4 linked regions of the Notamacropus eugenii genome follow. The protein of the gene in region 3 interacts with the protein of the main gene of each other region in a pairwise test. Links are inferred from orthologs where the notes say so. Each region holds a gene or a part of one and is shown on either strand. Other genes may lie near its edges. The genes, in order: ACSF2, COQ8A, AGTRAP and protein NKG7-like.

The links.
Region 1: the proteins of AGTRAP (region 3) and ACSF2 interact in binary tests that used the Homo sapiens proteins (3 or more experiments, as listed by UniProt). The two-hybrid records come from large-scale screens. The link is inferred for Notamacropus eugenii from reciprocal best matches to the Homo sapiens genes AGTRAP and ACSF2.
Region 2: the proteins of AGTRAP (region 3) and COQ8A interact in binary tests that used the Homo sapiens proteins (3 or more experiments, as listed by UniProt). The two-hybrid records come from large-scale screens. The link is inferred for Notamacropus eugenii from reciprocal best matches to the Homo sapiens genes AGTRAP and COQ8A.
Region 4: the proteins of AGTRAP (region 3) and protein NKG7-like interact in binary tests that used the Homo sapiens proteins (3 or more experiments, as listed by UniProt). The two-hybrid records come from large-scale screens. The link is inferred for Notamacropus eugenii from reciprocal best matches to the Homo sapiens genes AGTRAP and NKG7.

Annotation. Positions count from the first base shown.
Region 1 is NC_092873.1:360,430,086-360,438,017, forward strand, and holds the start of ACSF2 (medium-chain acyl-CoA ligase ACSF2, mitochondrial), read left to right. Parts: upstream 1-4,396; 5' UTR 4,397-4,628; coding exon 4,629-4,762; intron 4,763-5,507; exon of another isoform or gene 5,508-5,595; intron 5,596-7,932. UniProt on the Homo sapiens protein: Acyl-CoA synthases catalyze the initial reaction in fatty acid metabolism, by forming a thioester with CoA. Has some preference toward medium-chain substrates. Plays a role in adipocyte differentiation.
Region 2 is NC_092873.1:409,108,514-409,116,563, forward strand, and holds the start of COQ8A (atypical kinase COQ8A, mitochondrial), read right to left. Parts: upstream 3,457-8,050; 5' UTR 3,282-3,456; intron 2,645-3,281; exon of another isoform or gene 2,550-2,644; intron 1-2,549. UniProt on the Homo sapiens protein: Atypical kinase involved in the biosynthesis of coenzyme Q, also named ubiquinone, an essential lipid-soluble electron transporter for aerobic cellular respiration.
Region 3 is NC_092876.1:51,143,805-51,152,177, forward strand, and holds the start of AGTRAP (type-1 angiotensin II receptor-associated protein), read left to right. Parts: upstream 1-4,960; 5' UTR 4,961-5,173; coding exon 5,174-5,200; intron 5,201-8,373. UniProt on the Homo sapiens protein: Appears to be a negative regulator of type-1 angiotensin II receptor-mediated signaling by regulating receptor internalization as well as mechanism of receptor desensitization such as phosphorylation.
Region 4 is NC_092876.1:24,737,160-24,743,496, reverse strand, and holds protein NKG7-like, read left to right. Parts: upstream 1-4,038; 5' UTR 4,039-4,284; coding exon 4,285-4,438; intron 4,439-4,468; exon of another isoform or gene 4,469-4,514; coding exon 4,515-4,670; exon of another isoform or gene 4,671-4,700; intron 4,701-4,761; coding exon 4,762-4,896; intron 4,897-5,134; coding exon 5,135-5,184; 3' UTR 5,185-5,226; downstream 5,227-6,337. Other genes in the region: uncharacterized protein, read left to right, coding at 175-602.

The sequences.
Region 1 (7,932 bases), on a different chromosome or scaffold from region 3:
ACTTCTAACCTAGAGGGAAGGTAGGATGCTGATAGAGAAGATAACCAGCTGAAAAAACAGGAGAGCACAGAGCCTTGGGATGAGACAGAGGAGGGACAAAAAGAAAGATTTATACTGTTCTTTCTTTTGTTTCTTTGTCTCTAACAACATCTGCTCCTCCCCTGCTCTGGCCCTGGGATCTGAGAGTTTGCCTAATCATGGTGGTGAGCCCAGGTGAGTCCATCCATTGCATGAGTATCTATTGCTGTTTCTTTCTTCCCTCCTACTTTAGGATCCTGGTGAACCCTCTCCCAATGGTCTAGCTGGTTTTTCCATCCATTTCCAAGATCAGAAAGCAAAACAGCAAGGGCCTGATTCTCGAACCTGAGCTCAAACTCCAAGTTTCTTCGCACTATTTTGCTACTCTCTGACCCTGGCAAAGGATTTTAAAAAGGAACAAAGGTCATTAAAGGAAGGGCCCATATGGGATGGGTTTCTTTTGCAATGGCACATAAAATCATATTAGGGAAGGTCCTAGTAGACAAATTATTTCACCTGTCATCACTCTTTGAAATTTCTCATGTTGGTGGAGTAAGGTTTGCTGTAGAGGGACAGGATCAAGGGCTAGAGATTCTGACACTTAGATATGATTTCCTCTTTCTCTGGGACCAAGCTAGGGACTCTTTCTTGCTAGGCCAAGACCTAACTTCTGCCCTAACACCTCAGAGTTACAGCTTGGGGCAAAAGAAAGACCTTTGGTCTCCAACCTGCCCACCCCACCTGAGATAGTGAGTTGTGGTAATAACAGTATTAGCTTTGCATACTATTTTTCCCTTCCTTCCTTCCTTCCTTCCTTCCTTCCTTCCTTCCTTCCTTCCTTCCTTCCCTCCTTTCCTCCCTCCTTCCTTCCTTTTTTTGTTTGACTCTTCTTGCACAAAATGACTAATATTCAAATGTTTTCCATTATTGCACTTGTGTAATTTATATCAGATTTCTTACTATCTCAGGAAAGATAGAGGGAAGGAAAGAAGGGATAGAATTTGGAACTCAAAACTTAAAAAATCCCAATGAGTATTAAAAATTGTTGTTTCATGTAATTGGGGGAAAAGAGTATTTAGAAAAATCAATCAAAAGAAATTCAGCTTTAGGGTCAGAGAACCTGGATTTTAATCTGTGCACTGTAATTTCAATACCAGATGGGGAAAGGATTAAAGACAGAATTTATCTATTTCACAGTTTTGTCTGGGGCCAGCCCTGGTGTGGTAGGTAACAACTCAGTCTAGCAAACAGAAGCTAAACTTACAATTTCATTCACCTCCTGCTATGGGCCAGGATATCCGTAGAACTGGGGAGGGGTGAGGACAGCTGTAGGCCTATCTTATGAGAAGACTATAAAAAACAGTTTTAGCACTTTGCCAGTGAACTCATACAACTTCAGGGAATCCCCTTGTTGATTGTTTTAAACATCTTGAGGGCGGATTTTTTCTTCCCAAAATGCTTTGTAACTGCCTTGTGAACTGAAACTGCCTTCTGAAAGCAGAAATAATATAACTTTAGTAAAAAGGTTGTTTGTCTGAACCTTCAGGCTCTGAGTGATCCATTGCACTAAACAGGAAGAAAACAGAAACAGCTAGAACCTTCCCTGAATAGACAGAAAGGGAAAAGAAACAAGGCAATAGAATTCTCCCTCTCCCCTAGATAACAAAAAGGGTGACTTGCAAGGTTTGAGTGAGGTACCTCAAGAGCCATGCTGCCTACTAGTGAGGCACACTTAAAGAAGGTGCTAAACTGGCATAAAGGGTGGTTACAGAAAATGGGATCATAGTTCTAGAACTTGGAGAGAATTGGGCCACCTTGTCCCAACCTTTTCGTTTTATGGATGAAGAAAGTGAAGTCCAGAAGATGGTAAGGGTCAGAGCAGGCTTCAAACTCAAGTCCCCTGACCCCAGAATCAGTGCTCTTTCCACTGTACCCTAAAGGCAAACAATAACCATATTGCATAATGTGTATAATTTACTTTGTTGTTATTCAGGTGTGTCCCATTCTTCATGACTCCATTTGGTGTTTTCTTGGCAGAGATACTGATGAGGGCTGGAAAGGGGGTGTGAGACCTCCACAAAGACCAGGGTACCAGAGTCAGGTCATCCGGAGAAGAATTCATGAATTCAAGCATTGTTGAAATCAAGGTAAAGATTTATTACACTTTTCAGTGGGTAAGAGTTCTTAGGAAACCTGCAACCTTAGAGGGGTACAGAGCAAGTTTATACTGGATATTCTATAGTATCACTTGTGCCAAATAAGCTAACTAGGTGTTTTGGGGTGGAATTAAGGAGTGGTTAAGGAGTGACAAAATCTGGGTCCAGATATAGATCAGGACAACTGGAGATGGCCCAAGATGCAATGGGAGACCTTGGTCATTTAAGTTAAGGTCTTTCCCAGGTCTCAGTTTGACTGAGGCAGAGGCCACTCAGTGATTAATGCTAGGTAAGAAGTGAGGCAAAGAATGGTCTCTTCGTCTAGTAAAAAAAAAAAAAAAAAATCCAGGGGGGGAATACCCTCAGGGTTTCTGACCAAAACAGAAAGAGTGACTATTATATCCACTCTGAGACAATCTGAGTCCAAACAATGACTCTTACCTTTGGGTGTTTTGCCCAAAGGAATGTAAATTTTGATCCCTGAAGGACCACGCCTTAAGCCCAAATCACCATGAGCTGGAGAAGGACACGGCAAACCACTCTAGTATCCTTGCCCAGAAAACCCCAAATGGGGTCACAAAGAGTTGAACAACAAATTTGAACAACAAAAAGAATCCTCCTGCATGCTAATTGCTTCTGGTGAAAAAAAAAATTGGTCATATCTCTTCCTACTTGGGAAGGGAGTTGGGAGGGGGGAGGTCAAGTGCTTGATTAGACTGGGCACCTATAAGAAAAAAAGGATGGAAGTAGGTTGACTTCATAGGCAAGTCATTTAATCTCTCTGGGCCTCAGTTTTCCCACCTGTAAAATGGCAAGGAAATGTCTTTCCAAACTGAGTCCAAGATCCTGTGATCTCTGGGAAGGAAATGTTGACATCTTTCTTCCAGGTGGCTACCACTTCACAGAAGTTGGGGCTTGAAGACTATATTATGTAGAGCAGATATTTGGTCATATACCAATCAGTCAGTCAGTCAATGAGCATTTATTAAGTACTTATTGTGACAGTTTTGTGCTAAGCTTCAGGCATTCAGAAGGAGGAAAAAACAGTCTCTGGTCTCAAGGAGCTCACATTCTATTGGAACCAGTTAGACTAGACAGTCTCTAAAGTTCTTTTCAATTATGAGATTCTAGGATTCTATATCAGTTCACAAGAGACCTTTTGTTGTCTCATTTTGTAAAATGAGAAGGTAGGATGAGCTAATCCCTGAAGTCCTTTCTGGCTCTAACTTCTTTTATCCTTTGGTCCTCCACCTTGCTCATGCCTAGGACATCTTTAAGATCTTCCAAGTGTAATAAAAATCCAGGATTTTATAATTCTCTAACTTGAGAATCCAGGTAGATAGGTGGGGATTAATGTGAAATGAAAAGTGAGCATCACCTCTGTGGCCCCAGGGCTCAGTCCAGAATTAGCCCAGTCCCGTAAACTTGGATCTTTTCTGGCTACAGTAGTAAATGTTAACAAAGAGCCCTGATCTGAGAAGAGAGCTTTCTCTACCAGTGGACTTCCTAGACAGAAATCTCAATAACTTTAAATGAATGTTTTATTGATGTTCTTTATTTCCACACACACATATCATTGGCACTTCCCAATTACTCCTCCTTTCCGCCACAGAACCTTTTCTTGGAACAAATTAGTACACAAGCAAAATGAACTGTCACGTTGTCGGTGTTGGAAAGTGAGTGCCCCATTTCTCACCTGTAGTCCACCATCTCTTAGGCTAGTGACCAGAGGCATGATTCGACAACAGCACTCCAAAATTATTGTTCTTAGTACAGGGTTTAGCGCTGGAAGGGAATGATTTATGACGGACTGCTTGTGGTGGGCGGAGGCAGGGACGGTTAGGGACGGTTCAGAAGCAGAAGTCACACACCTGGAACCTAGAGGAGCGCGCAGACTTCTCACTAACCACTTCTCTTCTCTCCTACACTTGTTTTTTCTTTTCTTTGCATCCCCAGAGTTTGGTCCGGTGCTCAGCATACAGAAAGCATTTGGCAATGTTTGCTGAATGACCTGAACTGGCCAGTGAAGAGAGTTCCCTTCTCCCTCTCCAATTCCGGATTAAGAAGGGAGCAAAAGGAAAGGTCCCGTCCCAGTCACCTATAAAACCAACGTGAACTCTACCAATTCCTGAAGGGATCCCCATGACAGACCTCCCGCCTCCTGCCAAGCTACACTCTCCTCAGCAGTATAGAAGATGAGTTGCCCGGATCTAGAAGTCTTGGGGGCTGAGTAGGGAGGCGGGGTGACTGGGAGACACGCCCTCGCTCCGCCCCCGCTCCAGTCCTGGGGTGCCGCCATAGGCTGGGCACCCCCCCTCCCCCCTTCCTCGCCATTTCTCTCCTCCCCTCTTCTCCTCATCTTCCCCTCTCTCCCCCCCGCCCCCCCCCCCAGACTCCAGTTGCCTTGAAAGTTTAGTCGCTGGGCTGGGCTAGGGGTGCTGACTCTAACAGACCATGGCTGTCTCATTTGGGGTGCGACAGTTGGGGCGGTTGCCAACCGGGGTGATGGGGGTATTGGGGGTTCGTTCAACTTTAGTGCCTGTCCGGGGCTGGCGGAGAGCGGAGTTCCAGGAAATCCGCCTGCTCAGGTACTGGGAGCTGGGGGTGGGGAGGGCGGTGTTGGGATGACTTGGAATGTAGGAGCTAGATACTCCAGGGGGCACTTAGGGTCGCTCCAACCCATGGTGGGGTGCTCTGCGATCCCGTCGGGATGTTCTACCCTCTGGTCCAAGAGTGTTCTGGAGCTGACATCCCCCCCAACCTCTCTGTGCCCAAAGTCCGGAGTTTCTTACTCCCCTTCTCTTCTCTTCTCCCTTGTTTTCTTCCCTTTTCCATTCTGGCCAGGGCTGCTGAGCTCTCTGCCTGACCTGCCTGTTTTCTGATTGGAGTTAGAGCAACTATCCCTTTGGGGCCCCAGGGGATTAGGACCCTCTGTAGCCTGCTAAGATCCTCAAGGCCTGAGGTGGAAGTGGGAGAAGGAAAGGAGTCATTCCTTCCCCTGGGCTCTCCCCAATCAACAGCCTTGGGTTCTTGTATCTTCGGTGGTAAAACCCACTTTAGGGGAGTTCTCTTTCATCACAATTTTACACATCTTCAGATAATGCGGATGGGGTTTAGGGTATTAAGTGGAGTGAAACGGGAATGACTTCACAATTGTGACCTCACAAATGTTGAATGTGCAGAACTCTTCCTGATTTCTTGCTTCTCACTGATTTCTTCTTCATTCCCCCTTGGTCTGAGGTCAAGATCCTTTTTGGTGGGGGTCAACTTCTGAGCACTGGGGATGTTGTTCAGGAGTTAGACATTATGATATTTACTTCATGGATGTTCATTAATCATCTCAGGCCTTCAAGTGGGAGCCCACGGTAGGCTCAGTGGGTACTGACTGAGACTCTGGGTCCCATCGTTGCTACAAGTACAACTGGGAGGGGGAGGGGGAGATATACAGAGAGAGTGAAAGTGAGAGAGAGACAGACAGAGAGAGGGAGACAGAGAGAGAGAATTTAAGTACTTAAATATGTGAGAATTACTGTTTTAAGTGCTAGAAATACAAACACAAGCAAATAAGATAGTCCTACCTATAAGTAGTTTACTCTCTGATGGGGGAAGACCACACATAAAGGGGATGAGGGGCGGGTATCCAGGAAGGAGGTAAGGCTCGCTTGCTGTCTTACAAGTTGGAGAAGGTCAGGAAGTGAAGTCAGTCTGGCATGAAATATGCATGGCTATGGACCTTCATGAAATGGTGGTCAGGCCTAAAGACTCACTAGTTAGGAGAACAGGCCTCAGGGAGACCTTGTGGACTATGGAAGAAGGTGGAGCAAGGCTCTCTATATCATTGACTGATTTCAGAGGTGAAGAAAAGAGTAGGAGGATGCTAGGTCTGAAACTTAATTGGATAAAGAAAATAAGAGATAAAATAAGGCAAAATCAGTTTGGACAGCTGTGCTACATGGATACACAAAAGTCTGAAGCTGCCTACAAGAGTCACATTTGGAGAAAGAAGCAAGCAAATCTGCCACTGAAAGTATTCTCAGAGGCTTAATGATTGACCACTTGTTTCTGATTCATGCACAAGGACTGACTCAAGACCTCTGAAGTATATTCCAAGCAATGGTGGATTTAGGCATGAGTTAAGTAAGCTACAGACTAGGGCAAGTGTGTTTTACATGTCTTGTATGCCTTGGGCAGTCTGGTGAAGTCTATGGACCCCTTCTCAGGATATGTTTTTAAATGCATAAATAAAATGCATAAGATTGCAAAGGAAACCAATTACACTGAAATACATTTGTCAAATATTTCTACAAAATTAACAAGTTCACAATCTGCAAGTTTAAAATAAGTTTAGTCACCAGGGTAAGAACCTAAGAATTGGGATCTCATATTACTTCCAGTGTGGCTCAGAGGAAAGAATACTGAATTTGAAGTCAGGGAATCTCTGTTCAGATTCTGGCTTTACTATCTATTCCCTGTAAGATCTTGACCAAGTCACTGGGCCTCAGTTTCCTCATCTCTAAAATGAGCAGGTTGGACTAGACAACTTCTAAAGCTATGATCCAATGATGATGAGGGACATCTACATTTGAGACACATTTATTGAGGGTTCATTGTACTAGGGACCAGAAAATAAGGGTAAAGGTGGCACAATCTGCTCTCAAGGCTGAAGAAGAACACACACACACACACACACACACACACACACACACACACAAATAAATAAATATTATAAGCACATGGAATAATTTCAAAAGGAAGAACCAGGACAGCTAGGTGGCATAGTGAATAGGGAACAGAGCAGGACTTGAGCTCAAATCCAGTCTCAGACACTTGACACTTACTGGCAGTATGACTGTGGGCAAGTCACTTAACCCCAACTGCCTTGCCTTCCCCCATCCCCAAAAAAGGAAGAGAGCAGTAAAAATGGGTATCAGGAAGGAGAGGAGAATCAGCAAAGGTATAAGATAGCCCCTGATCAGTGATTAATTAACTCCTCATAATTCCAGTGCTTTAACTGTTAATTATTTCCTATTTATTCTGTCTATAGCTTGCCTCTATGTTTGTTTATGTTGTCTCCTGTATGTTGTTTATATGAATCTCCTCGAGGACAGGAACTGTCTTTTGTTTCTTTTTGTATCCCCCAGTGTTTAGCATGGTGCCTGGCACATAGTAGGTAATTAATAAATGTTGGTTGATTGATGGATGGATGGAAACTGATGATTCTAGGGGGTTTGAGGTAAGAAGGAAGTACAATTTATCTATTACTAACCAGATGTGGTTTTTTTATTAATGCAATTGATCTTGCATAAGTTGCTTCATCTGCATGCCAAAAAATGCTTTACAATAATGAGATTTTGTAATGATCGTATTTGTTTTTTTGTGCTCTTTTTTTTAAATAGAAGGCCTCTAAATCTTGACCTAGTGTAAGACCTTCAGCTATGTTCATCTCATTGAGTTTCCAATTCCATTGTGTTCCAGTAGTCTCTGATTCTTAGGTTAAATTAAAACCTGCATTTTGATATTTCATTTTCAATGAGTCAATAAACATGTATTAAGTACCTACTGTGTACATGCCATACACTGCTAACACTAGTGAGATAATTTCAGGGAGAACCTGACTGGTGAGCAGAGCTGTAAGTGGAAAACAAGGGGCTGCCTCGGCAGTCCCAAGACCCTGCTTTTAGACCTTTTTCTCTACCTTGGACATTAACCAGCTGTGTTGATCTTAGAAAAATCGTTTTCTTCTCTGGGCCTCATTGTC
Region 2 (8,050 bases), on a different chromosome or scaffold from region 3:
TGCAGAAGACAACACCTAATCCTCTTATCTTTCATTCTCTTCTGCAGGCCTCCACTACTCCTAGAAAAGGTTGAAGGCTTGAGAAAAACCATTGTGACTGATTACAGAAATGCAAATTAACAACTATGAAGTATTACATGACACCTATCAGACTGACTAACATGACAAAACAGGAAAATGATAAATGTTGGAGATTTGGGAAAACTGGAACACTAATGCATTATTGGTAGAGTTGTGAACCGATCCAACTCTTCTGGAGAGCAATTTGGAACTACACCCAAAGGCCTATAAAACTGTGCATACATACCCTTTGACCCAGTAATACCACTTCTAGGTTTATATGCCAAAGAAATTGCAAAAAAGGGAAAAGGACCCACATGTACAAAAATATTTATAGCAGCTCTTTTTGTGGTGGTCGAGGACTGGAAATTGAGGGGATGCTTAACTGGGGAATGGTTGAACAAGTTGTGGTATGTGAATCTAATGGAATACTACTATGCACTAAGAAATGATGAGCAGGCAGATTTCAGAAAAACCTGAAGATTTACATGAACTTAATGAAGACAGCAGAACCAGAACATTGTACACAGTAACAGCAATTCTGTTGGATGACCAGCTTTGATAGATAGGTCTTCTCACCAATGCAATGATCTAAGACAATTCCAAAAGACTCATGATGGAAAATGCTATCCACATCCAGAGAAAAAAGTATGGAGTATGAATGCAGATCAAAGCATACTTTTTCTCTCTCTGTTTTTTTCTTTCTTGCAGTTTTTCCCTTCTGTTCTGATTTTTCTTTCACAACATGAGTAATATGGAAATATGTTTAATATGACTGTACATGTATAGCTTGTATCAAATTGCTTGCTGTCTTGGGGAAATAGGAGGGTAGGAAATTTAGAACTCAAAATCTTATAAAAGTGAATGTTTAAAACTAAATAAATTTATTTCTAAAAAGAGCATCAATAAAACATTTACTTAATAAAAAAGAAATAAAAAGGATTGTAAAGTAGAATAGCATGACAGAAGAAAGAGCAGTGGATTGGGGAATCAGGGTACCTGGATTCAAATCCCAGCTCCTCCACTTACTACTTGTGTACCACAGCCAAGTCAATTAAATCCTCTGGAGCTAAGCTTCCTCTTTTGTAAGGTAAGAAAAATGGACTACAATAGGGGTAGCTAACCTGAGTTCCATGAACTTTAAAAAAAAAAATCTGATAACTATTTAGACGTAATTGGTTTCCTTTTTTCGCTATGAAATTTATTTTAAACATTTAAAATGTTAAATATCTAAAATCATAGTCTGAGAAAGTTGATCTATAGGCTTCACCAGACTGCCCAAGAGATCCATGACACCCAAGAAAAGATTAAGCAGCACTGGAGTAGATGAAATCCCTTCCATCTATAATCTATGATCCTAAGTGGGTGCAAAGACAGCCAACCTTCTCACTTCTCTTGCAGGATACACAAGGAAGGTTATGTCAATAGTAAAAATAACTGTCTACTGTTCATTTTTCCCCTCATTTCTTAAGACTTAGCTTAAGTGTTCCAGGCTCTTGGTTCAACCCATAAGGAGTGATTTGTCTCCAAAGGGACATTCCTGCCACACTCCGAGTCAGTCTTTCAAGCCCCTGCCAGCTCAGCCTGTCCTTTTACAGCATGACAACCAGCAGCTTGGCATTTTCAAGTCCTCTGGCCAGAAAGAAGCCCTGACAGTCACCCTTTGCCAGTGCTTCAATCACGAATTTAGGGGGCAGCTGGGTATCCCAGTGGATAGAGCAAGGCCTCCAAAAAACAAACAAGCGTTCAGGAACACCTATTTAGAAAGCCCTCGAGGCATGGTTTCCCCACTAGACCCCGTGGGCAGGCAGGTCAAGCATTTCCACTGCCCAGGCTAAGAGGCTCCGCATTCTGCCCAGACTTCACACAACTCTCAAGCCTCAGGGCCAGGATTCTCCCAATCCCACATCCTGGGACCTGGCAGAGGATGGGCCAAAGGCAACACAAGGCCAGCCTAAGTCTACACCTAAACCTCCAAGGGCGAGGAGTGCCAACCGCCAGGCGTCCGGGCAGGGCGGCACGGGACTCTGCCCAATGGCCGGCAAAGTTGGGCGTGGAGGCGTGGATGAGGCGTGGGCACGGCTGGCGCGTGGAGGGCAGCTCCCGCAGCCGCGCGGACACCTCTTCCCCCCGAAGCGCCCCGTCCTCCCGGGCTAACCCCACCCGGGCTGGGCTTCACCTCTCTGCAGGCACTGAAGGTCAGAACTAGCCCTTGGGCCCGGGGCCAGCGCGCTCAAGAATCAGGACTCGGAAAAGGCAAACAGGGGTGCGGGGCAGGAACGAGCCGCGCCGGGGCTCGCCCACCGGCTGGGGCGGCAGCGCGCTCCAGGGCTGGGGCTCGGAGCCCGGACCCTGCCGGCCGCGCTCCGCTCCGGCGGACGGGATCCACAGGGACCGCCGGGTGCTGAGGTCCGAGGGGGCGGGAGGGCGCGGAGGCTGCGGCGGGGGCTCTCCATGCATGCAGCAAGTGCGTGGGGCTGCCGCCTTACCTGGGATTGGGGAGGTGGGTCAGCAGCCCGCCTCCGCCTCCGCCTCCTGCAGCCGCGCACCTCCCGCTCAGCGCTGCGGTCCGGCACGCGCTCGAGGTATGTTTACCAACTCTCCAGCCGCGCCGCGCGAGGCCCTGGGGCGGCCTAAGCACCGCCCCCCGCGGTCGCTCCGATTGGTTGCGCCGCTTCCTCCTTCGGAACGTGGGCCCGGGCAGCCTTACAAGCCGGAGCTTAGAGGACCCCTTCGAGCCCTGAGTCGCGAACCGTGCGCCGCGCCGGGGCTCCTGACGCCTGGGCCAATCGGGAGCGAGAACGGAGAGACGCTAGACCAATGGGAGGCAGCTCTTCTTGGGCCGCTCCCAGCCCCTCCCCCACGCTCATTGCTCCTCCCACCTCCCTGCTCCCTCTTCGGTCTGTAAATCTGGGTAGGCCGTTTGCTTGGTGCAAGGGCTGGGGGGCGGGGCATTTCTCACTCTGCCTAAGGCCTGTGGCTTGCTCGTCCCCGCGGGAAATGGTGCTAGCGGCCATGGTCGCCAGACCCCCCTCAGGGCCTGGCCTCAGGCAAGGGGGGGGAAATGAAAAAGACTCGGGCCACTCCCGGGGAGCCGCAGCTGGGCCTCTCTCCACTGCCCGCCCTTTCTCTCCTCCCCATCCCCCACCGCATTCAGCGTACCCCCCAGCCTGCAGTCCAACCCTGCCCTCCCTCCGCGGCCCCCAGCCTTTCAGCCTTACGTTCTGCTCCACTCGTGGCTGCTTCTCCGGGGCCGCCCCCGCGCCTTCCTCCAGCCCCAGCTCAGAGGCCGCCCGGTGCACGAAGCCCTTCCTGAGGGCCCGTCACGCTCTCTCCAGCTCGCCCCTCTGCGCGCAGTTGTTTCCACGTGGTCCTCCTTGTTAGATGGCGCCCCCCTTCGGGGCGGGAGCCGTCCTGGGCCCTTGCTCGTGTGCGGGCGCCTCGTCCAGCGCCCGGCCCGGAGGTGCTCGTTAACTGTTGGCTGGCCCGTGTGAGAGCCGCGAACAGCCGGCCGCCGCTTGTCCTACCAGCCTTGGGTCTCATTCCCTCTCCTCATCTTGTGGGTGCTGTTTGACCCCCGATGGGGTCGTTCTTCCTAAACATCAAAGCACAAAAAGTGATGCGAAGGGCCTTGGCCCAAGACTCTTCCCTTGGAAACAGGCTGTTCCAAGCCCGGAGTGACGGCCCAGCGGGCCGGGATGGGGAGGACAGGATGCGTGTATCCATTCAGTGTCGGGCACGTGGCCCCTGCCCCTGGAAGCGACCCTTCGCAGGCCAGAAGATGGAGCCGAGGGGGTTGTGGCTGTTTTCAGGACCCCCTGTGGGGTGCCCCGGACCATTTTACAGAGGAGGAAACTGAGACAAAGAGGGTTACGCGGCCAGATGTGAACTCCTGAAGATGTCTTCCTGTTTCCAAGCCGCTTGTTCCGTCCACTTTATCCCCTAGCTGCCCCAAGGAGAAGGGGAGGGAGAGCATTTCAGATGGCAGCAGAGGGGAGGAATAAACAGCCTCCTTGTTCGCTGTTGACTTCCTCTATCCCCTTCCCTTGCTCAGCCTCAGAACTCCGTCGCCTGCACCAAGTAAGCAGGTCTGTAAGGACTCCGGGCCCGTCAGGGATGAAGGGACACCGGCCCGAGTAGCGGTGTGACGTGGGGAGAGTGACCTGCTTCAGACTGAGGGGGCTGCGTCCTAGGAGGAGCCCTGGGGTTCACAGGTGCTCCACCCCACCCACCAACCTGAATTGAGAGTGACTACTGCTTCTCTCCCAGTGCCCCCTCATTAACTGGTGGAGGGCGATGACTATTAAGAGGCTGGCATTAGGCACATCCGAAAACGCCTGAAAGAGTGTGTGTGAATTGTGTTCTCAATGTGTTTAAGTAACAAACGCATGTGCGGTGGTTACACTCCACCAAAGGCCTACCTCATTGAGTTACCGTGGTGTAGAGGTGACCCTGGATTCTAGACCTCACACAAATATCGGTGTCATTGAAATTCTCTTGTACAATCCCTGGAAGGTCCTGCCCACTAGCTGGAAACCTTTCAAGTTAACTACTTTTAGAGGGCTAGCTGGGCAGGGACTCACCCCCAGGAGGAGAGATAGCAGGCGTAGATGGATCTGCCTCACTTGGTAGCTGTCAGTGAGTCAGTAAGCATTATCTGCTGCCTTCTAAGTGACAGGCGTTGAACCAAGTGCCTAGGATACGAAGAAAGACAAAAGACAGTTTCTACTGCAAGGAGTTCACAATATAATGGAGGAGACAAAATGCCAAAAATAAATACAAAGCAGGCTTTATACAAGACAAATAGGAAGTAATCAGCAGAGAGAAGGTACTACCATTAAGGGGGATCAGGAAAATAAAAGGCAAAATTTCTATAAAAGATTTTAGCTGAGATTTGAAAAAAGCCAGAGAAACCAGGAGTTAGGCTTTGCAAATCTTGAAAGGTTAGTAACAAGTGAGTTATTATTACTATATACACAGGATCTTTTTTTAAGCTCCTGAACATCTCCAAAAGTTGGTTCAGTGGTCAGGATTGTGCCATTTCTGTCTTCTTCATAATGTCATTGGAGGAACACTCACATTAAAAAGACTTAGGTTTCAGTGCTAGTTCTGCCATTAACGGGTGATGTCATCTTCACCTCTAAGGTCCCTTTAAGCTCTAAACAATAATGAAGATAGTAATAATAATAATTGGCACTTATATAAGCACTTTAAAGTTTGCAAAGGTACTTTACAAATATTTTTATTTTGTCCTCACAATAACTCTAGAGGGTGCTATTATCCTCATTTTACAGATAGGAAACTGAGTCTGAGAGAGGTGAAGAGACTTGGTCAGCTAATATGTGAGGCAGGATTTGAACTCAGATCTTTCTGACTCCAGGTCAGGCAGCTTTGTACTTTATCCAGTATCCAGCCATGTAACTGCCTCTGAATACTGTGATCCTATGATCTTAATTCTGGTTAGCTTTTTTGCATTGTCATTTCCTCTTTATAAATGAGGGAGTTTGACTAGAGGACTTCAGTAGTTATTCTTCCAGCTCTAGTGTTATGCATACTATAAAATCTGAAGAGTGAGGAACTAACACCATTTTCATTTTTGTTTTGAGTGTGTGATAAGCAAATCTAGATGTAGACAGACCGAGCAGGCAGCACCAGTTTCAGAATTTAGCAGGCACCAGGGCCAATGCACAAAAAGATGGTTCATTTCCTCCAAGAGCAACCCCCTTCTGGAATATTGAATTTTGAAAACCCAACATAAACAGATCACATCTTTGAGGGCTAAGGGTATAGCCTACTCAGCCATCCACTGACTAAGCCCTGAGGAAAGTCCAACCCAGGCTGGGACTTGATGGACTGCCAAACCTAATAACATAAGAGTAATCCCCAGTACGATGGGAAATGATAAGCACAAAAGTAATAATTTAGTGGTCTGAACCTGGGAACATCTCAGCATAACCCATGAACAAGCTCTGTTTTCTGTTTTTTCTTCAGAATTCACAGCCAGCTCATTTTATCAGAACTGGCATTCAAACCCAAGTTCTTTGGATTGCCAAGTCCAATGTTCTGATAGCTCATATTGAACGAATAAATGGCAATCCAGTTTACAAAAAGCTTTCTGCATGACACACCTGTGGAATAGCACAAAACATTTTATGGATGAGGAAACTGAGGTTCAGAAAGTTTAAATGACTTGTACACAAGGTTATGAATGGTAAAATCAAGACCTGGATAGAGACAGAAGCAAACAGAACGAGGAGACAAAGATTAGCCCAATTTGTCTGGAACATTCAGTTGCTGAGCAGTCTGGTAAAGTAGTCTTTCTTGCTTTTAGGATTTCATCAGTTCCAGCACCAACTTCTTTGGCATGTACTATGTTTGATTCAAGTATTCTTCCTAAGGGCCGTCTCTACTTCTGAGTAACCCATCAGATATCAAGGTTCCAAGGACCAAATGTTCCTCTGTCACTGATGATGGAAATAGCCTGGCACCAGGGGCATCGCCCTTTCCCAGATACAACATCCAGAATAGCTACCCCAGCTCCAAGACACTGTGTAGGTCCATATCCATACAAAATGATAGCTCATAAGCCCCCACAAATGTATTTGTTTTCCTTGTAGTCAGCCAGAGGTCACAACTCATTTAAACCAAAGATATTTAAAGAAGTAGCAGGCAAACAATCAAGAAACACTAAGTGTCATGCACTGTGCTAAGTGCTAGGGATACAAAAGAATAGTAAAACTAACTAAATAAATGAAAATAGACCCTCAAAAGGTAACTGAGAGAGCATTAATAACAACTGAGCCACATGTCTACTTTTTGATCTATATAAAATCTATATGAGAACAACCAATCATCCCCTCTCATTCTCTAATCCTCACGCTCTCCCTACTGCTCCTCTTGGTTTCTTTTCTACTAACTTTAAACATGCCTTAGTCTTCCCTTAAAAAAACTTTCATTAGGCCCTCTAGTTATTGTCATTTATTTCTCTTCTCTTTCTCATTCAAACTTTAGATATTTACTTATCAGTTATTTATACTCACTGCCAGCATTTCCTTCCCTCTCCTCTCTCTTCCTTATTAACCCTTATCAACCTGGCTTTCAACCTCAGACTGTTTTGGAAACTGCTGTCTCCAATCTTCCCAAAATTCTCTTCGTTGACAAAGTTGATTTTTTTTCCTCAGTCCTCATCTTTCTTGACCTTTCTTCTCCATTTGACTCCATTTGACCACCTTCTCCTCCTGGATACAGTCTCTCCTCTGTGTCTTGTTGTTTGCCCTTTATTCTGTTCCCAAAAAGGACCAGTGACTTCAGTGGAAGTGATGTCTTGACTTGCAGGTGAACTGGATTTAAGTGAAGCCAGGCTGTTCAAAGTCATCATTTTCTCCTCCAGGGTCATCTGAGCATCTCCCCTCTTGGCTTTGGTGACATTCCTCTCTCCTGGTTCTTCTTCCATTCTGTCCCACATGATCATTTCATTCATTGTATTTGTCTCCCACTGCATTTTTCTTATTGCTTATTCCAAAAAAACAAGACTATGTAGAAGCATGGGTAACTTTAAAGGCTCTATTCCAACGGTGCAGACTCAAATAGAAATGGAAGCCTGAGAATCCTTGATATTTAAAGATCCCTGCTGCACGTTGGCTGCACATTGACTTAGTTTTAAAATATAATATTATCCCCCAATTGATAAATGGTCAAAGGATATGAACAGGCAATTTTCAGAAGAAGAAATTAAAAATATCTATAATCATATGAAAAAATGCTCTAAATCACTATTGATTGGAGAGATGCAAATCAAAACAACTCTGAGGTACCACATCACACCTATAAGATTGGCAAACATGACGGAACAAGAAAATGATAAATGCTGGAGAGGATGTGGGAGAGTTGGAACACTAATTCATTGTTGGTGGAGCTGCGAGCGCATCCAACCATTCTGGAGAGCAATTTGGAACTATGCCCAAAGGACTACAAAAATGTGCATACCCTT
Region 3 (8,373 bases):
TGCTTATTGTCCTTGTTTTTTTTTTGTTTCATGTTACTTCTGCTTTAATGCTAATGGTTAAAATAACAAGAGCTAGCATCCATATAGCACTCTAACGTTTGCAAAGCTCTTTACAAATAGTATCTCATTTGAATCTCATAACAACTATGGGAGCTAAGTGCTATTAATATCCCCAGTTTACAAAAGAGGAAACTGAGTCAGTGATTTATCCAGTCACACAGCTAATGTGTCTGAAGCTGGATTTGAACTCAGGTGTTTCTGACTCCAGAACCAGCACTCTAACCACTATACCACCTAGCTGAACTATGTCATTCTGAGAACCAATAAAATCAAATCTTTCCATGTGGCCCAAATCTACTTTTCCAGCTTCAATTTCCAATGTACAGTCAAACAGAATTCATTCACTGGATAAGTATGCTTTCTTAGAACTTAAGAACTCCAGCTAAATCTAATCCAACATTCATTAATTAAACTAAAGCAGTCATCAAGGTAGTGAAGGAGCCAGTATGTTGTACTTGAAGTCAGGAAGATCTGAGTTCAAATCCTGTCTCAAATACTTCCTAGCTGTGTGACTTTGGGCAAGTCACTTGTAACCTTTGTCCATCTCAGTTCCCTCATCTGTAAAATGAGTGGATTGTAATAGCACCTCAAATAGTGGTCATACAGATCAAATGAGATAATATGTACATAAATATGTATATATATAAACTTATATGTATACATATGTAAAACATTTTGCACTATGAAAATTGCTAGCTATTATTAAGCCCCTATTGTGAAAGGAAAGAGAAAGATGATAGTTTGAGGGAATAGTAGATTGTAAGGGTTTTTTAAGACTTGGGGAGACCTGGGCATATTTGCAGGGAGCAGGGACGAAACCAGTAGATACAGATATTGAAGCTTCAAGAAACAGGGGATAATTGTGGGAACAATTTGCCAGAAGAGACAGGAGGGGACAGGAGCAAAAGTTTATACTGAAGGGTTAACTTTGACGAGAATTATCATGCTCTTTTCATTAAAGACTAGACTAACGGAGGAGAAATTGGCTATGATGACAAAAGATTTTGAGATGTAGAGAAAAGGGAAAGAGAGAACTCACATAGAGTGGCCTCTATTTTTCTCAGTAAAGCATAAGAGATCTGCTGACAAGGTAATGCGATGGACGGTAGAGGAAGCCTGAGGAGAAAAGAAATGGTCTGGAGACTTTGACAGAGAATGAATTAGCGTTTTAATAATTCATCTATGGCCTTAATAGCAAAGAAACAAATTTCTCTCTGCACCTTTGTGGATTTTTCTCTGAATTTTTTTCTTTGCCACAGGAAGGAAACTCAAAAGAATAAATCTAGCAGCACCCTCATTTTACCTAAGAGACAATGAGACAGTTAAGTTCTTATGGTAAAAAGCCTGTGGACTGGAAGTTCAGCATGTCAGCAAGGTGATATGGCTGCTCCCAAACCAAATTGGGTCATGGAGTTAGGACCAGAAGGGACCTCATCTAGTTCAAATCCTTCATTTTAGAAATGAGGACACTTGGGTCTCAGGAAAGTGAAGTTGGCTTGTCTAAGGTCATACCAAGAGCAAATGAAAGAGTCAGGGTTTGAACTGCAGACTTCTGATACTGTATCCAAGATGCTTCCCCTCCATAATATACAGACCTGATGAAACCTAGGGCTTTGGTAGCTACTGTAACAGTATCTAAAACAAAGGAGGCGTAGCCCTGCTCTGTTGTACACTCCTTACTTGATGAAGGAGATTGAATAAACTCCCATAATTCCAAGATAGATCCCAAGAACTCAGATCATTCTCCCCTCCTGCAAGTATGCACAAAATTCAGGAGTCTACTATTCAGGTCTATGTGTTTTCCAACCTTGAATTACCTCCAATTCTTTGTGCGTGGAGTTGATTTGTGACTCCCTCCCTATCATCCCCTTAACTCCCAGCTTACACTTCCAGCTGTAAATCTCTCCCAGAGAACTCAGTACTACATCCTCTGCCCCCTCTGGGAACATAATTTTACTTTCCCTGAATCCAGCTCGACTGGTTCTAACTTGCTGCCCCTCCTACGCTTCCAGCACCAGCATTAGCTGGTTGGGAATGAATATAGTATCAGTTCTTTGAACTAAACAGATCATCCCTTGTCCTTCATCCTGCTCTGGGTCTCGCCTCCCCCTTCCTAATCTAACACAACAAAGCCCTGGGTCCTTTTCTTACCTCAGGGTACAGAGGCCTGCTGGGTACTCTTATTATTTTACTCTTTTAACCTGTGGCCCATGAATTTTTTATCCCCACATATTCTCATGAACCTATCACTTTTTATGCTCTGGGATGATGATACAGACAAATGAGGATAAGAGTCTTGCCCCCTTTCACCCAGAAAGACCTAGATAGCATAAACAGGGTATGTAGAAATTTGTAGGCCCTCCCCATAAGTACAGCTGACATTTATAGAGAGAGATTGAAGAATCACCATGCTCTTTCTAAGCATTATCTTATTTAATCCTTATAACTGTCCTCAGCAGTAAGCACTACGTTTTACTGAAGAGAAAACAGGATCAGAGAGGTGAATTTGGTCTCACACATGGTCTCGCAGTCAGAAGTATCAGAGGTAGATTTAGAGCCCAGGTTTTCTTGACCCCACAATTAATACACTTTTCAATATATCTTGTCAAACAGTGAAAAAAGCAATTGACAAGCATTTGTTAAGGACCTGCTATGTGCTAGGTACTAGAAATAGAAAGGCAAAAATGAAACAGTCCTTGCTCTCCAGGAACTAACATTTTATTCAGGGAAATTTGTACAAAGAAAATTGAAAGGAGAGTGCTGACTCATTATCAGAAGATCAGAAAAGGCCTCATTTTTGAGGTTGATCTTGAAATCCCATAAATTGTTAGTACAGTGGAATCCTACCATGTGGGATTTAACCTAAATCCTACCTTAACAAGCTTATATGAGAGGTATTTAAATACCCCTTTCCCTTTAGATCTGCCATGTCTTTGACTGCACCACAAGGGTAGGGATGGCTGGGAGAGACAGGACCATAGAGATGAAGAAGCAATGGAATGAGGAAGAGGGATAGGGAAAAATAAACTATTCAGTTGTGCTTATATGATTTGTGGGTGCCACATGTCTGTAGGCTCCCAGAAAAGGGTTATCTTGCTTAATGAAGAGAATATTGGACTTGGAAGCAGAAAACCCCAATCCAAACCTCTTCTCTCCAACCATGACTAGCTGCATGACCAAAGATAATTCACTTTAACCTCTGAGCCTCAGTTTCCTCATCTGAAAAATGGATATAATACCTACAGTACTTCACTGGGTCATTGGGTGGAAAGTGCTTACAAACGTGTTGTTGTCTTGGAGAATTTACCCTTTTCAATATTTTAGTTTCAACCAGGACTGAATAATCTACTTGATTAAGGAGACTGAATAAACTCCCATAATTCCAAGACAGATCCCAAGGACTCAGACCATTCTCCCCTCCTGCGAGTATGCACAAAATTCAGGAGTCCTCCTTGAATTATTGGGGAAATGCTCATGTGTCTCCTGGATGAAGTTGACAGTATTCATCTCACAGTGAAAATTATCCTGACTCTCCCTCATGTGGGTAGGGAAAGGCAACCATGCCTTTTCACAACGCTCCCATAGTACAGCTGTGAGGGACAGAATGTGAGCCCAGTCAGGCATTTGTCCCATTCCCTAGCCTTCCAAAGCTGTGTTAGGCTTTCCTTCGGAAAAGCTGTTGCAGTTTTCCTTTCACATGGTATATATTTGACATGGTTTATTAGGAACTCTTTCAAAAGGATTCAGGGCACAGGAAGAAGGGCAGGGTTTTGGTTCTGATACGAACACAGTTCTCCTAGGGCTAGGTTTCTTAACATTTTGTGACACAGAGCCATCTCAGCCTGGTGAAACCTATGGCTCTCTTCCCAGGGGGAAAAACTTTAAATAACTGAATGCCAAATTTCAGTTCATTTGAAAATGCCAAAGACTTAGTGGTGAGAGAACCTCATTTTTGGAGTCTCCAGTAACTGTGGTTTGTGGAGGAGTTGGGGCCTTCCTTATCTACAGTGGCACCTGAAGGGTCTCATCTCATTGAGCCCTTCCCCTGGAGCAGGGTTGGGCCAGTGCTCTGGAGCTCTTGGACTCACCGGTCTATCCCTGGCATTTGTTGGACAGCTGTTACCTCTGGAGGTGGGCAGGGGATGCCGGTTGGCCCTTCTCCACCAGGGTTGCTCCCTACATGATGGCTGTAGTATACCAGAGGATGGCAGGGGACTTACAGATTCTTTTATCAGTCTTCCATCCCATACATGAACAACTGAGACAGATCAGGGAGGAAGGATGGGGGCGGGGGGCGGTTGGAGAATGCCCTTCCTCTTCTACAGGGTGATGGAAGGGCCTGCCTAGAACTTCTGGGCCTGGTGATCAGGGGGAGGAAGAGGGGCAGAAGACGACTTGCCCTAATTGGGTGCAGCAGGAGAGAGGGAGACAGACAGACAAAGACAGAAACACAGACACACACCCAGAGAGAACCACAGACGGACAGACGGACGCAGAGCTAGAGAGGGAGCATGCGTGCGTGGCCCGAGCCCGGGGCTAGGCCAGGGGGGAGCAGGGACAGAGCGCCCCTGGCCGCAGGGGGGGCAGACGCCCACCAGGGGGTGGCAGGTGTTGGGAAGGGAGGGGGCGCGGCTCCCCCAGACTCGCTCCTGCCCACAGCCCTTCGCCCTCTCTCCCGAGCCTCAGGGGTCCATCCTTAGGGCCAGGGGCGGCCCGAGATGAAGGGAGAACCTCAGGTGCGGGCCGGGCTCGGGGGCCTCCAGGCCATCCCTCCCTAGAGAAGTCTCCGCCCAATGTCGAGGCGGGGGGAGGGGCGGGGGGAAGGGCGGGGGGAGAGCTGGGCTCGCGCCGCCCGGCCGGAGGGGGAGGGGCGCAGCGCGGTGCAAGGTGACGCCGTCTCCTAGCAACCAGCCTCGGCTCGCGGTCACGTGCACAGGCCGTGGGTCAGGTGGCCAGGCCGCCCGAGCCGGACCTAGGGGGAGGAGGCGGGGCCGGGAAAGTTTGTTTCCCAACTTTCCGGGTAGAGTCCGATCATCCGCAGCCGCAGCCGCAGCCGCAGCCCCGCCGCCGCCCCCTTCTCCGCCGTCCGGTCCCGGCCCCGGCTTGGCCTGGGATGGAGCTGCCCGCCGTGAACCTCAAGGTAGGGCCGCGGGTGGAGCGGGGCGGGCCCGGGGACGGAGGCCCGAGAGGGACAAAGGGGTGCCCGGGGCGGAGGGGCGTGGAGGAGAAGAGGGGGCCGAGAGGAGGGAGAGGACGGGGACGGGAAGGGGCTGAGAGATCGACCGAACGGGGAAACTGAGGCCCGCCCGGGGTCACCGAGGCTGGGATGCCCGCAGCTGGGTCAGACCCGCTCCAAGTCGTGTGCCTTGCGAGCCAGGGAGGGCCACTGAGGAGAGAGGAGGCGGAGGGGGCATGGGGCCGGGAGGAGAGGGGAGCCCGGGGATCAAGGGGGGCAAGGGAGGGCCGCCGAGGAGAGAGGAGGCGGAGGGGGCGTGGGGCCGGGAGGAGAGGGGAGCCCGGGGATCAAGGGGGGCAAGGGAGGGCCGCCGAGGAGAGAGGAGGCGGAGGGGGCGTGGGGCCGGGAGGAGAGGGGAGCCCGGGGATCAAGGGGGGCAAGGGAGGGCCGCCGAGGAGAGAGGAGGCGGAGGGGGCGTGGGGCCGGGAGGAGAGGGGAGCCCGGGGATCAAGGGGGACAAGGGAGGCGCCTGGAGAAGTTATCCAGGCCTAGAAAACCGGCCCCACCTGAGCCTGGGGAGCATGTGCTCCAAGCGACACCCCCCCCCCCCCATCCAATCCGCCTGGGAGCATATAGATATAGATATCTATAGATAGATATATGTACACACGACCTCGCAGCATGTTTTACCCAGTTTACTGAAGACTGAAGAGCGAATGAGGAGGAGACGGCAGAAGTTTGGGGTGTCGCTTAAGAATTTGGCAGCTTTGGCATTCATTTGTACTTTGCTTTAAAAAAACTGTATAAGGTAAATTTTAGGGGAATTTGTAACCTGTGACAGGCTGCTTCTGGGTAAGTTTTCTTGCTGTCGCAGAAATCTTTAGTAAAACTTCCATCTTTTCTCTTCAAACATTCATGGTGTCAGAAAGTGGGATTTAAACCCTACACCTCCCTAAGGAGACCAGATTCATGAACCATCACATTTACGTATATATGTATGTGTATATATGTACATATGTATGTGTATATATATTTATCAAGGTGGATAAGCATGTTGAACTTGGAGTCAGAAAGATGTGTCCTGCCTCAAACACTAGCCTTGTGATCATGGGCAGGTCACTTAACTTCCCTGGACCTCAGTTAGGCCATCTGCAAAAATGGGTCCTGTGTATGAGGTGTAGCACCCACTTCCGGGCATTTGTTGTGAGTCTCAAAGAAGGTCATCTAGCTAAAGGGCTAGGTCATAGATTTGGAGTTGTTAGAACTAGGGACCAGGGATTAGAGGGAGGAGAGCTTTAGGAGGGAGAGAGGGGACCTGGAGCTGAGGGCAGGCTAACCAGGCCAGTTCCCTTATATCAGATAAAGGACAAGAAGGAGAGAGGATCAGGGAACTGAGGACAGGAGGGTTTTGAGGAAAGAGGGAGACAAAAGGGTAAAGGATGAGGAAGATGGAAGTCTTAGGGAATGTGGGGGCTGGAGAGGTGCGGAGACAGCAGGTGGGGTCTGAAAGAATGAGGACAAAGGGAGGAAGGGGGCCAGGGGATGGAAGTCTACGCTGGGGAGGGCTAAGGGCCTCCTTAGCAGGAGAGGAGATGGGGAGTGGGGCAGCTGGACAAGGCAGAGTTCTTAGGGGTGAGGGAACCTAGAAACTGAGGAGGAGGAAGCCCAGTGGGCAGATGGGAGAGAGTCCCTGGGAGTGAGGGGTAGAAAAGCTTAGAATGAGTTATGGGGGAGGGGGACAGCCTGGGGGAGGCAGGGTGTGGTTGGAGAGGAGGCCCTCAGGTTTTCCCTGACCAGCCCCCATTCCTGGGATACTTCTCCTCTCCATCTCCATCTTCTCCCTGGCTTCCTCCAAGACCCAGCTAACATTCCAGCATCTGGAGGAAGCCTTTCCCCATCCTGTCTCAGTCTAGCCCCTTCCCTGTGTTGACCCTCCCCACATGTCCTGGACTTAGCTCCTGAGCATGGAGGTTTGCATGTTATTTTAGATGTTAGGCTGCGAGCCCCTTGGCCAGGGCCTGGTGTTTTCCTTCCTTTGGATCTCCAATGCTTAGCCCAGTGCCTGGCACAGAGGAGGCCCTCACTATATGCTTGTTGACTGACTGCAGTGGAATCATGAGGGAGAGGAGGAATGGAGAATTAGGAGGGAAGTGATTGGGTGGAGGAGATAGAGTTGACAGAACTGAGAAACCAGGCTATGGGTTTCTATGGGAATAAGAAAGAGATCGACTGAATGGGGAAACTGAGCACAGAGCGGGTTAAACGGCTCACCCAGGGTCACCGAGGCTGGAAAATGCCTGCAGCTGGGCATATAGGATAAGGAAGAGCAGATGGGGTGGCTGAAAGGCTAAGGGACAAAAGGAAAACTGAGGAGCAGAGGGGGAACCAGGAGGGAAGCCATCAGGGGACAGAGGGATGCCATCCAGGTGCAGAGGGAGGAAGATTCTGGAGCTTAGCACCAGGCCTGGTACATGGCAGGCACTTAAATACTTGTTGACTTCTTGACGATTTGGATATAAGTGGAAGGACACAGATGGAGGGAAGAAGGAACTGAGACTACTGGAGGCTCGATGGGCTTGTTTAGAAAGAAAAGGGCTGAGTACCCTGTGATCACAGGCCTGGGTACTTGTCCTAGGCTCCTCTAACCTACAGACCTCCCATGGGGACTTTCTGAAGAAGAAGAAGGGCTGGGGATTGCAAAAAGGAGAGGACCCAGCCCATCCCAGCAACCCCACCACTCCCACCTCCCTGCAGCTCTGGCCAGGGAGAGCACTCTCCATTTCCAGGAGCCTTTGCTTTCACTGTCCAATTACTGCCCTGGTTACTTATTTGTCCCCATTGTTTACTTAGACCAGGTTAAGAAAGTCGTGACTAATGAAACCCCTTTTTCATGTTAAAGCATCTAGCTGTGACTATGCCTAAAAATGCTGCTCTTGGGGGTGGGGGTCCCTCACTTCCGACATCCTCCTCTGCCCTAGACCCGACCCACCCCCAGGGCCATGCTTATTTGTTCTTCCACCAACACAGAGATAAGGGCTATTAATCAGGAAGGCTGACTCTTGGCCCAGGGTCAAGGGCCCACTCATTTCTTGTATTGGAGACAGTGCTAGGACAGCCTAGACTGAGGTGTTTCCCCG
Region 4 (6,337 bases), about 26 Mb from region 3:
GGAGGAACCAGACAAACAATAGTGATGGGGGAAGAGGAGAGAAGGAAAAGGGATATGGAGTGGTCATACTGAGTGGGCTAGATCTTGGGGTGGAGCATGGAGGCCAATGTAAGAAAATAAAGATCATGAGCCTCCTACTCCTGGGAGTACAGCTGGTACCTCTGCTTTCCCCAGGGTCCCTCATCTTCTATCATCATCTTCATCTCTCCAACTCTCTGATACATCCCTTGGAGAAGCAGTCACCTTCCCCAAACCCAATAATCTCACAGATTTATCCAGCTCCCCTGGTCTCCAAGCAACCTGACACCTTACAGACCCAAACATCAGTGTCTCCCAGAGCACTTGAGGTCTTCTGGGTCCCAAAGCCCCCAAAAGCTTCTTTACTTCCAGAGCTTTCTGAGAGTCCCCCAAAGCCCCAGAAATTTAGAGCCTCCTTTTCCCAGATGTCTAACAGATCCTGGGTCACTGAGCAGCCTTGGGTCTCCCAAAATTTAAAAACCTCCTCATACCCTTTGGGCTTTAGGGTTCAATCATTCTTTATGAGTACCTTAAATCACGACCACTCTGATAGTCAGAGTTCTTCTACTTCTACAAATGTCTAAAGTTTTGCTCCCAATATCTCAAAGACACCCACCCTCCACTACCCCCTCCCCATGGTCAGAATTCTCCTTCTGGATGGTAAAAAATATTGACTTTCAGGAACATTTCCCTGGTCCTGATGCTGTTGGAGGTGTTTCAATTTCCTCCTTTCCTACATCATAACTTCCCTTCTCCCAGCAAAGTAAGATTTGCCCTCTCTGTGAGATTTGTCTCCACCCCTTGGGGTCCTTGGAGAAAATGAGGGTGTAGACAGGAACCTGCATATTGAGTGTGGTGAAGCCAAGTTCAGCAGAAACGGAAAGCCGGAGAACAAGGAATATCAACGGAAGGATGAAGAGAGATGAATGTCAATTTCCCTAATGGAGTTGCTATCATTAAAGAAAGTTTGGGATTTCTTCCCCAACCCAGTATTGCATCATCATCTCAATGACCAACTTAATCCCATTTTGGTCCCTGTAATCCCCATCTCTAACCCCACTCCTCATCTGTACCCCCTCCTCCACCATCCCTATCTCTAAACCCACTAAGATCACTGATGTCCATCCCAACTCCGTTCCGAAATCCACTTATTTTAACCCCAACCCTAAACCCATCCTCTAGCCTTTCCCCCAACTTCAACTCCACCACCCTCCCCAGGCCACCTCCAAGTCACCCCACCCCTAAATCCATACCCATTCCCTATCTTTATCTTCACTCCTAACCCCAAGCTTCACTTCATCCCCCTTGGTCTGCCGTGAACTGGAGGGGGTGAAGATGTCAGTGGTGGGGTCGTGGAAAGTTCTATGGCAGTTGGGGTCCCTGAGTGGGTGGGGAAGATAAGAGAAGCCTGGGGAGGGGAAACTCAACTATTGTTCCCAGGGGAAAATCTGAGGGGACTAGGAGGGAACTGAAGGGATAAGGAATGAACTGAAGAGACTGGGAGGAACCTGATGGGAGAAGAGAAGAGATCAAGAACTAAAAAGATGGAAAATAACTGTGGAGGACAGTGAGACATCTGAATGAAAGCAGAGGGGTCGGCAGAAATTAAGGGAAACTGGGGTCAAACATTAGGGACTGGAGAAAGCAAAGCAGGACAAGGCCAGGCTCCCAGAACAAGCCTGGGCTAGGCTTTGCCTTCCTTGTACTCCAAAGCCTTTCAGCCTTCAGGAGAAAATGAAGAAACGGGAATGGAATTCACTCAGCCACTCTGCGGGCCTGGTGACCTTCAAAGTGGCCCTAAACACCCTCTGCTTTATGCTTCTCCTTCTCACCGTGTTCTTGCCCTACTGGCTGAAGATTCAAGTGTCTCATACCCATTTCTACCTGGGCCTATGGAAGCCCTGTGGGGATAAAATGTGTGAGGATATTCAGAAGTCAGGTACATGGGGATAAGGAGAAGGAAGGACAGAAAGTGGGGATGAGCATACGGAAGGAGGTAGTGAATATGTATGGGGAAGGGATAAATATGGAGGCTAGAGAAGGTGAACATGGGGCTAAAGATAGAGGATAGGGGAAAAGGGGATCTCCAAGTCTACTGAACCTGATTTAAGCTTGGTGTCCATTAGAAGGTTTCTTCTTGTGGGTGGGTATGTAGTCACAAGAAACTGATCTTGGGGACCTAGGGCTGTGTGTGTGTGTGTGTGTGTGTGTGTGTGTGTGTGTGTGTGTGCGTGCGTGTGCATGTGTGTGTGATTAGCCATTACTATCACTGCCTTTCTCCAGTCTTAATTAAGGTAGTCCAAGTGCTGATGGGCATGGCCATTGTAACAGGCTTCCTGGCTTTTCTGGACATCTTCCTGATATTGATCAATGTAGTGAATGATAGAACATTCTTCTACATTTTCTCTGCCCTGTGTAGCTTTGTCACTGGTAAGAAATCTAGACTCCAAGGATCCCTATAGGGCTTGGTCAGGAGGTGATGGGAGACTGGACACTTGCTGTTCGGGGGTGATGACACCATCTAATTCTTCCTGCAGCCTTACTGTGCCTTGTTGGCCAGAGCATCTTCATGGTCAGCATGCACGTAATATCTATCCATAGCACCAATCACTTTTTCTTCGAATGGGTCTTCTATCTAGGCTGGGGTACTTCCACACTGTACCTCCTGAGTGGTGAGTTGGTGATAGGGGCTGAAAAGGGCCGGGGATAGGGATAGTATTGGGAAGGGAGAACGAGATAAGGGTGAGGCTGGAGATGAGCATGGGAATGCGGATGGGGTATGGGTGAGGTGGGTTTGGAGAAGGGGATGAGAATGGGAAGTAAGAGGCCTCCCTTCTCAAAGGCTCTCTGACACTGGTGAGGAGGCACTCCAAAAAGGTGAAGCCAAGAAGCAGAATTACAACCACGTCAACCCAAGAACCCAAGTCAACCATGAGCTGAAGGCTGCTTTTCTGGGCTGGACCTGGGCAGGGGTGTGTGTGAGTGTGTGTGAGTGTGTGTGTGAGAGAGTGTGTGTGTGTGTGTGTGTGTGTGTGTGTGTGTATGTGTGTGTGTAAAGCCTCTCAGGTCTTGGCTCTGAGCTTGTCTCTGCAGACCCCTTTCATCCATTCTAACATTTTTGTTTTCAGGACCTCTTCCTCTTTGTTGTCACTCTTCCCCTCAGAATCCCCTTGGCTCTACACTCTGTGTATGCTCGGGGAGGAAGGAGGAAATAGTGTCCTGAAGCAGTGTCTAAGCCACCCCAGATTTCCAGCTAAGAAATCATTTGTATAAACCAAAACAGTGAATAACCAAGTAAACAGATAAACATAGAGTCTGACCAGTGGCATCTTTGGGAAATGAACGGAACCTTTGGTTGGCATCCTAGACATGTCATGTCCCAAAGCCATGAAGTCTCCAGGATCTCAACCTCCTCAGCTCCTTGGGATCTTACAATACCTTTGGCCCCAGGAGTCCTAGTTCCCAAGTTCCCCACTGTGTATCTGTTCCACATTGCCTTAGGCTTCCCAGTGCCAAGCCCTTTGGGGAGCCAAGTGCCTGCCTCCAGCCTCTATTCTCTTCAGGGATCTAGTCACACCATCCCCTTCCCAGAACAGAATCTTAGTGAGTCAGCTTTACCAAGCCATTGTTACTAGCCACATCCCCTCCTCCCCACATCCTGGTGAGTACCACTGTGTGTGTGTGTGTGTGTGTGTGTGTGTGTGTGGGTGTTCGCATGCTCTAGAGTAACTTCATACCACCGCCAGGATACTTCCTCCTCTTTCAGGCAACAGGAGGGAGAAGCCTCTCCCCCTAATATCCCATAGAATCCTCACTACCTGGTGTTATGTCAGCCTTACTTGTCTTTCCCTACACCCAGCCCTGACCAGCCCCACACAGACCACAGTGACTTCAGGGCTTGAGAAAAGGAGTATAAAGATGGTCTGCGTCATCAATCTGGTGTGAAATCCCCCACCGCTTCCCTTTCCGGGACCCACATTTGGAGCCCCCAACCTATTGCTCGCTTGGCCAGGTGTCAGTCCCCTCCCAGGCCCCTGAAACCCAAGCATTTGACTTCCAGTCCTCTGTAACTTCTCAGTCCCCAGGTACACCAGTAAGAATTTCTAGGAATTCAGGCTGCCCCCCAAATTCTCCCTACCCTGCTTACAAGATCCCAGCTCTCTGTTCTTCTCTGGCTTCCACTGCCCAAGGACCCAGGTGACTGGCCTTCCAGCTACTGCCCACTTCTAAGAAGGCACCCTTAGTTCCTGAGGACCTGGGTCAAGAATGCACCTCCGTTGGGTGCTTGCCCTGCTCTCTGAGAGCCTTGCTCTGACCCTCCTGCTAGTTGCACTGAGTACTGATAACTGGATCACAGCTGTAGGCCCTAAACACCAGGCCCACTCTGGCCTCTGGCATCCGGATAAGGATTCTGTGAAAGGTAAGAGGGCAGCCCCTGGGATTTGCTCACCTTGGAACATCCAGTTTGGGCTGAGCTGCTAGCACCCATATTGCAGATTTCATCCAGGCCACCCGGGCCTTCATCATCCTGGCTGCACTGGCGGGTCTGCTGTCTATCTCCTGTCTGATCCTCGTCATCACTTCATCTCTCTTCACCTTCAGCCTCAGTCACCTGGCCTCTTTGATTTCTTGCATCACAGCCTTTGCTGCAGGTAAGACTCATGGCAGGGGAAGGAGAGAAGCTGAGTGGGGAGAATTGGCAGATTGGAGAAGAGAGAAGGGCCTCACAGCTTCCATTCACAGCCCTCTGCAACACTGTGGGAATGGCTGTCTACACTGGAGAGCGATGGAATGAGCCAAGTGATTCTCAGATTCAGACCACCTTTGGCTGGTCCTTCTACATGGGATGGATTTCTGTCATCCTCTTCTTTTTTACTGGTGAGTGGGGGAAGTGAGGTATGGGGAATGTGTGGAGGACTAGAGGCCTCCTGTCCCAGGAAGAGAGACAGATTGACCAAAGTGGCCCTTACCTCTTGAGCCTCTAGAGAAGCCCCAGATCAGGACGGAGAACATGGCAGGAATGGGGTGGGGAGGGGTACATGATGAGACCTGGGGGCTTCTGGAGAGGGGATCAAAATGAATCTTCTCTGAAGCCTGCCTCTCTTTACCACAACAGGAGTCCTGAGTCTTGCTGTACACCATCCCAACTATGAGACCTTAGCTTGAGAAAGCGGTCCTAGATTCACTGAATAAATCAAAAGTTGCCCATCGGGTTGATTTGTGTCTCATTACTCCCAGAACTAACCCTGAGTCCCCACTCTGCTTGGCTCTCTGAACCCTGCATCTCTGTCTCCTTTCCCCTTCCATCTCTCACCCTCTCCCAGTAACACTCCTCCCAACCACACATCCTTTCCCACTCTCCCTTGACTCCTTGCCCTCTAGAACACTGTTATCTAGTGTCCCATGAATACCCACCTTCCAGTGCCACCCAGCCTTTCACCTTCTCTCCATCTCCTAGCCTCTGCTTCTAGTCAGTTTTCCAGTCATCCATCCTCCCAATTTCCCAGTACTCCCTATGTCCTAGTCTTCCCCCAATGTTGTTGATGCCAACACACCTCTTCCAGTCTTCCCCAGATACCCTTTTTTCTCCACCATCACTCATCCTGTTTCATAGTGTCCCCCCATCATCTCCTTTCCCTTCTGTCTGTCCTCTTCATCGTTCCATTCTCCCCATCTCTCCTCCCAGTTTCTCAGGCTACTGTTTCCAAAGTTCTCCCTATTCCATTTCTCCAGCCTTCCCCTTCTTTTGTCTCTGCTCCCAGAACCCTCTTGTTCCCCTCCTTCTCTCCTCCCAACCAGGAGTCCTTGCGTCCAACCTCCTTCTGTCCTGATGATGATCTAGGATGAAATTCCTCAAGGAATGGGATGTGTGTGTGTGTCCCTTTAATGAGATGTAGGGGGGTTCTGGAACTCCTTCCTCATAGAGACCTTGGTCCCCCTCCCCCACTAACCCGACATCTCCCCACCCCAGGCGGGAGGTGCTGAAGCAGGACGGCTGAGCTGGGAGTGAGCCAGGCAGGTGGGGCCCCCCTCAAAGGGAAGGGTGTCCTGAGCAGGCTGGCGGAGCTGGGTGCGGGCCATGCAGGTGGCGGGAGGGCTCCCCTCAAGGGGAAGGGTCTCCTGAGCAGGCTGGCGGAGCTGGGAGTGAGCCAGGCAGGTGGGGCCCCCCTCAAAGGGAAGGGACTCCTGAGCAGGCTGGCGGAGCTGGGTGCGGGCCATGCAGGTGGCGGGAGGGCTCCCCTCAAGGGGAAGGGTCTCCTGAGCAGGCTGGCGGAGCTGGGAGTGAGCCAGGCAGGTGGGGCCCCCCTCAAAGGGAAGG